Drosophila melanogaster: one gene and its partner. The protein of the gene in region 1 interacts with the protein of each later gene in a pairwise test. Each region holds a gene or a part of one and is shown in the gene's direction. Other genes may lie near its edges.

Region 1 (2,890 bases):
TTTTGCTGTAAAAAAAATTGGGCAATTGAGAAACTGATTTTGGGACAATAGAGATCAACATCCTATTTGGTTTCCAAGAAGAACAAAAATGAATAACTCAGGGTTTTGCAAAAATAAAATCACGTTTGGTTCGTGTCAAAAACAGCAAAAGAAGACGTATTCTAATTGGTTTGCATTTTTTTTTTAGTTATTTAGTTCACACAAAACAAATTGAATTTTCAGTAGACTTACATATAACTTATGCGTAAACTAAATTTGCTATAATCAATTTGATAAAGACTACTGACGAACTTAACCTTTATATGCAAAAGCTAGCAAAGGTTTTGGTTGCTTGAACCATTACACATTCGTAGATAACAATTGTATGCTCTTGTATTACTTAAATAAATGCATTCTTAATATTAAGTTAACTTCTTAAATTCATAGTATTTCATATTTATTCCACAGTGAGACCATGGAAATGGCGTGTAATCGCCAAGCGAAAAGCGAAACTGAGTACCAATGTCAAGACTAATGGCGTTTTATTTTTCGTTGGGCTACGAACTCAATTAGCTGCCGTGCGTAGCGTAATTAAGTTGATGCCACGCCCAATTCGATAACCTAAACCTATTCGGGCGTCCACTACCTGCCCACGCCATCCGCCCCCCAAATGATCCAGTTTTATGCCACCTGACGTCGCCTCGCGATGTGTATGCAAATACATTATGCGAACTGCTTTCGAGCTGGCTTAAATTAATTTATCACGTGCCAAAATAAAGCAACTACCGGTGGCTTCCCCCCTCTGCATTTTTCGTGTAATTAATTAAATTCGAGTCGGAGGAGCTCCTAAAAGTTCGCCACGAACAAAAATTGTTTGCTTCGCTAAAGTTTAAGTTGTGCTCTTAAAAATTAAGTTCTTCTTTTGCAATTCCGGGGCATAAAGCTATCCGCTTACACATAATGGCGCCCCACATTCGGGCGCCCCATGTGCCCTACTCAAGTCCAACTTTCTGGGTAATTATGTCTCCATGTAAGCTCCGGGCAGCAGTCGTCACTCAGCTGGGTTTTACCGATTTTCCGATTTTCCGATTTTCCTTTTCGGCTTTTGCTTTCTATCCGAAAAGAGGAATATTAAGTATTCATTGGGAAACGCAAGAGAAAATCGGTTGAAGTGGTTGCGGGAAGTTGCCGAAAGGCAGCGTTCGTCATTTCAAATTGAATTTTTAATTTTTAAATACTTACCAACTGGCGAAAAAGAGTTGCAACTATAATGCATGGCAAAACTGTGAAAAACGTCAATGGCACTTCCAATCTAAATAAGTAATTTTTTAAAGCTTAAGTAAGGGATTTATCAGTAGACCAAATTTTGTAAACTTTTGTTGGGTAAATTGATTCTTATAAAAAGGTATTATGGGAAAAACTGAGACTTAAGGAAATTAATTACAAAGCTCATTGATACAAATTTTCAACAGTTATTATTATTGAAACACATATTACAAGTTTTCTAAAGTCTCTTAAAAAGACTAAACACACTAAAACAAATTAGGCCAAGGCAAGGTAAATGGGATCTTAGTTAAATTAGTTATTAGCTAAACTAACTTTGCAAATCCCATTTGTAATGTAATGTAATCGATGCAAAGCTAAAATAACTATTTATTTACTGAACACAGCCCGTAAAAAGTGCGTATTGAATTTCCTTCGATGTGCGAAGTGCAAGTGATTAAACAAGTAAGTGCGGAGTATTACATGTGATGATGTGGTGCTTGACGGGAACTCAATTCTCTTGGCAAGTTCAAACAGAAATCTAATTTAAAGCGGCTAGAAAGACTGAAGAGATCTGAAGAGAGACGGGTGGGAAAATGGGTAATGTGTGTCTGTGGACTGCTCATTTCGCTTGTTTACGCATCCAACTTGCCATCAAGCATACGCCAAGTGAGCCATCGCAACAGAAAGGGTCATCGGAGAAATGTTAAACTAGAGCGAACAGCTTACGTAAGTGATGGGATTTAAATGCCGGAAAAACTTAAATGGCAAGCTTAACGCCGTATCACGTAGCATCCATATTAATTGCAACGTGTAGTCGGGTATAAATAGCTCACTACCTGCCACAGCCGATCATTCAGCACTACTCGACAAGATGAACGTATTCAATGGTTTCTTGCTAGTCTTCCTGGGCCTGGCCCTCAGCTCTGTGGATGCACAGATAGCAACACGCCAGGAAACCTCGGAGGACAAGGCTTGTGGTCCCCACGCCTACTACAATTACGCCCGGCACACTTGCCTGCCATTCTAGGAACCTTTCCAAAGTGTCCTATGCCTAAAGAAATAAAACGTTAAGGTACTAAATGTACCAGAAATTAATACGCGATGTTTAAGTTAAACGGGAAAAGAGGGTGCAGCATAAAAAGAGTGGACATTACATTAATGGTAATTCTATCCTTTTGGGAGATGCTTAAGAAGAAGATCATTTACAATACTTCTTACTGTTCAGAACCATCGATTTAGGTTAAGAAAATAACTAGATTTCTTATTATGAATGAATTGGTAAGCTCAATGGGCCATTATTTGAACGACCTTCAGCAGCTACCTCATCCACACCATGACTCCGAGGAAATGTTGGCAATACGTGGAAGAGCTTTCTTGAATGCACAACTTTATGCCCCTTTCACTGCTTCGCTAATTAATTCACCCCTAAGAAGAACGGTTTCCCAGTCCCAGGAAGCTGCATCATAAACCAACTTGTAATGGCGACTGCAGTCAGGCCAACGACTCTTATAAATGATTCTTAGAAAAAGGTATTATTGGAAAAACTGAGGCTAAAGGAAATTATTTACAAAGCTCATTGATACAACTTTTCAACAGTTATTATTATTGAGACACATATTATACATTTTCTAAAGTGTCTTAATTA
Region 2 (5,002 bases), on another chromosome or scaffold:
ACTGGAAACATCTAATAACTATGTCAGCATGTGGCTCTCAAACTGTAAAGCTGGCACGCACCTAAAAATGAAAATGGAAAACTGGGCGGGTTTTAACAAATTGTGGATCCATAAAGAACTCATTGAATTTGACAGGATTTCCTAAATCAATTCTTTATTTTATTTTAATTTCGTGTAAAATCACCCGTATAAAAATGCAAGAAAATTGGTAAAAAAGTGGAATTTATCGCGTAATGCAAGAGCACGTTGATATTACAGGAAAAACTCGGTAGCATCAGTGAAATTGCATTTTTCGACTGCCTAATTTTCCATGCGAAACCTCCTGCTTCTCTTCATAATAGGAGAACTGGCACTAAAACTGACCTCTGGGGTCGTCATCATTTTTGGCTCACGTTTATGATTGAAAATGTTCGTTTTTCGCAAAGCGGAGGAGTTTTGCATAAATCAAGTCAATTGGGTATATCGAGGAAAGCCAAATGAGTGATGGTTTTGAGTTTAAAACGGGGTGAAATTACATAAACTTCATATGTGAGATTATTTCTGGAAAGGATTTCAAATATTACAAAAAAATTTGGGTAAAGTCGAGATATTATCTTATTTGTAGACTTAGACAAATGTAATACGAAACAATGTGTTTAGGTTCGAAAACAACGAATTGATGTAATGATTTATGTAAAAAAACTGTACATTTAGGTACAATTTAGGAATTTATCTTATGATTTATGTAAAAAAATTGTACATTTAGGTACAAGTTTATTTGATGTATCTTAAAATGGTCATAACTTGCATTTTTTAAGTAGCCAATTAGCAAGTTTCAAATCGTTGTGGACCAATAAAAGTGGGCAAAAAAACACTTGGACTTTCAGGTTTTTTGCAATAAAAACAAAACCACAACTTAAGGCGCCTTTGGAAATAAGCCTTGGATAACAAAAACAGCAAACGAGGAAATTGGGAACAATGGACCGGCAAAGAAAAGCTGTCGCTCCCCGAAGCAACAACAACAACAGCAACAGAGGCTATGGATTAGCCACACGTGGCCCCCCACACTACCTCCCAACCACCCACTTTGGGTCAGGAAAATGAAAAACGATTCGAGCGCCAGAAGAGCCAAAAGAAATCGGCGAAAAAACCTTAAGAAATGCTGGAAAAATACCCAAGTGACCCAGAACTTGTGCAAGAAAATAGTCAAGGTGCTCGAGGGGAAATTGAAGGGGGAGGAGTTCTGCGGAGGCGTTTGATTTTCCTACGCTTTTGATGTTTTCCAACTAATGACGAAAGCAGCCAGCAAAAAACTCGAATGTTCGCCGAAAATGTTAGCCTGCTGTTAAGAGAAGCAAATAGCCCCAACATCCGGCGCAATAAATTTCGAAGAGCGGTTAACGGTCGACTTCGAACTACATGTTAGCATTTCGTGTTGGAGTCTGCGCTATGTTCTGATTAGAATGTCTAATTTGGAATGTCAATGAACATTTTAATTAAATGTTAAAGTTTTAAATATCGTGTTTTATTTCAGTACTGATGCAGCTATTGATATCAAGAGGCATAGCGCAGAATAAAAAACTAAAGTAAAATAATAAACATTGATTGCATTTGCAATTTTTAAATTCGTAGAACATTTTTCTAGCCAGGGCGCAATCCGTCATACAGAACTCCAATCAGAACTAAGTGCTGCCTCAAACCTCACGGCACAACCGGTTAACAGAAGCCGCTCTTTTATCGAATTCGAACTCGCTCTCTCCAACTAGAGCTGTAAGCCCAACGTTATCGGCCTGTAATCGAACATTTGCCATCTCTAGTGCGCTCTCCAACGATTTTTGTTATTGCTTTTTCAACCGCGATTCGTGCAGCATGTGTGTTCGCGTGATCTGTTAAAAAAATAATGCTTAAAGCACATCGGTAACCGTTAAAGTCGCCGGGGAAAAAACCAATATTGATACTAACGAATTTTCGAATAATTTTCACAAAACGATTTTGTGCGCGATTTTTTCGTCCAGGCTCAAGAGGAGTGCGAGCGAGAAGGAGCGAGACAGTCGACGGTGGCTGCGTGCAAAATAACGGTGCACCGAATTCGACCAAATAAAAATTGAAAATAATCGCCGTGATTATTAGAATTTTAAACTGCCAACTGCAGCTAACGAATCAACCGATACGAGAAACCGATCGATGTGAAGTGCAAAAACAAGTAGAAAAATACAAATAATAAAAACAAAAACCGGTTCGCCTCTGCAGCAGCAGAAATCAAAGCCAAAAACGAAAAGAAACAAAAATCAAAGACAGCGAAAGAATTTTTGTTGTTTGGCCGGTGCGTATGTGTTTGTGTGTGTGCGTGCGCGTCTGTGTGTGGGAGTCTGCCAGTGTGTGTGAGCCTCTCGGCAAAGGAGAAAAACGCACAAGTCGGTAGGAAAAAGGCGTACGTAAGGAAAACGAAAAAGAGAGGAAAAAACGCAGTAGGAATTTCTTGTTTCCCCAAAACCGAAAAAAAAAAATCCACGTAAACCCGTTTCCCTGCAAACACACAAAATATAAAAGGTGAAAAAGTACAAAAAAGAGTAATATCTGTGAAATAAACGGAGGCCGCAAAAAGTGGCACAAGTGAAAATTCCTGCGCCGTTCGTTTTATTATTATTTTTCTGTTGCCGTCTTTTTGACAATCGCCAAAAGTGAAAATCAATTTGCGAGAGCGCGCGCGCAAGGAGCGAAAAGGAAGAGAGAGAGAGAGAGTGTGAGAAGGAGAGCGAGGAAGAGCAATCCCGATATAGAACTCGTCCTTTTTCGGCCCCAAAATTACCCAACCCAAAAAAAAGAGAAAGAAAACTGAACGAAAAACTCCCGGAGAAAACAACAACACACAACGATAAACTGCAAAAGTAAACAAATTGCGCCGAAACTAAACGAATTTCGGAAAACTGCAGCCAACGGAAAAAAGGTCAGTACACAGCGATTGATTGGCCGGAAAATTAACTAAATTAAAGTAAAAACCCTCGAGTGCCAAAGTGGTGTTGAGCAGCAAACACCTTTTAATAGTCCCCCATTTGACCTTCACCCATGGACACCCTCGCAAATTGGTAGCACCAAAGTCGGGCTAGCAGTTAACCCTTACCCTTGATCACCGTTAATTGGACCCCCCTCCTCAGACTATCATGGTCATGGTCAGCAGGTTGTGAAAACGGTCATTTATTGAGGTGCGTTACCCTTGCATTATATAAGGCACGAAACTCTTCAATGAAAATCTAATTTCAAAAGGATTTTAACCACTGTAAGAAAAAAAGTTAAAAATGTATTAAAATATCGTATAGAAATGTAAAGGTATTTGTGCTTTAGATAAATGTAACAATAAAAAGGTGACATCACTATCTGTAACTATTATATTGAATTATTGCATTTGTCACTGCAACTGATGATTTCAAGAAAATCGTTAAGACCTACGACAGTTATTATGAAGCAGCTTTTCTGCAACTTAAATGACTGTTACTTCTGTTCTATGGCAGTTACCGCCTTCTTCGAGTTGCACACACTCATTCGAAATAAATTCGGACTGGCAGCACGTTTACCATTTGGCTGACTCTTTCTTTAATCGCACCTTTTTATGGGCCCACCGTTATATTGACCTTCACTCGAGGGGTTCTGCTCTTGAAGAGGCATTCATAAATTTCGTTTTCTGTGCGAGTGATTTGGAAATTGCACGCTTCCCTTTTTTTTTGTTTTGGAGGGGCTGGCTGCTTCCCCCTTTTTGTCCCACCAATTGCAGTTATCTTGGTTGTTTTTGTTCAACTTTACTCATTTGTTCATAACGTGACTGGTTCTTGTTGTGGCCTATTGCTTTTTGGTTGTATTTGTTGCTGCTGCAGCTATTGTTGTTGTTGTTACACAAGCGTAACAATAAAATTTCAGACTGGCCCGCCATGAAAATAGTTAAAATTTTATATGTGCTGTTATGATCATGTTTTATCTGATAGTTGTTCGCTTGTGGCACGTAACACGGTTTGTTTTAAACTTTTTCGTTGATTTGCAGGCGGCATGAAAGGGGCAAAGATATATGTACATATATGTTTATATATATGTTTATATGTACCTACATATATCACGTAGATCAGCGAGGGGAGAACTATCTGAGATCCAAGAGTTGGGTCAGCGGCTGCTTTTTGTCTCGGTTACTTAATGTGGATGCGGCTTAATTGTTCCAAAAGATCAGATATCTTGTGCTGCGCCTACAGTTGTGTTGAGATATAATCGTTACCCAGAAAATAAACATAAATATAAAGGTTTTCAGAAGAGCTTTAAAAATCATATACAAATCAGAAGAATATACAGTGCATTTAATATAATTTATTTGTAGAGCATTCCCATATAATTTTTTCTTGGAAAACGTATAAATTTACATTGAAATATTTATACTACTAGTTAATGCCAAAATAATATAAATATTAATGCTCCAAAATTTGCTCATGCTCATTTATCAGTCAGAATAATTTCAAAATGTAAATATTCTGAATGTTTTAGTGTCACGTTGAATTTAAGACGTGATCTCATGCTTCCCTACTCGAACCGAATACTTGCAGCTCTCACTGTTAACTGTTTGCGTGATCTTACTTAATTTCCTTACTTTGTGTTATATTCATTAAAAGATTTGACAATTTGCAGTGATAAATCAAAAGAAATCTGAACTCCTCGTGGCCTGCAAAGAGTGACATTTTTGCTCAACATTTTGACCAACATTTCGCCCAATTTGCATAAATTTCAAGCATTTGATTCATACGAAACGCTCCAAGTCGAGAAATTCGACTTTTATGGGCAAACTCCAAAAGGCCCAGGCAATTTCTGATTTATTTAATGAGCAAAAATGCTTCGTTCGATTTCTTTGGCTCCCTCGCTGCAAAGTAATCTCTCTACAGACCCGTAGGCGTAGATCTCAGATTGGTTGGCTGCCGTTGAAGTTTAACAAATTTAAAGCAATTTTCGTAGCTATTTTTGGGGTCAATTAAGTTTCGAGGGGGAGCCACAG

What was found.
Region 2: the proteins of Met75Ca (region 1) and Prosap interact in a two-hybrid assay, tested with the Drosophila melanogaster proteins (one large-scale study listed by BioGRID).

The regions. Positions count from the first base shown.
Region 1 is NT_037436.4:18,471,591-18,474,480, reverse strand, and holds Met75Ca (Met75Ca), read left to right. Parts: upstream 1-2,096; 5' UTR 2,097-2,116; coding exon 2,117-2,272; 3' UTR 2,273-2,338; downstream 2,339-2,890.
Region 2 is NT_033778.4:14,137,713-14,142,714, reverse strand, and holds the start of Prosap (prosap), read left to right. Parts: upstream 1-1,812; 5' UTR 1,813-2,926; intron 2,927-5,002.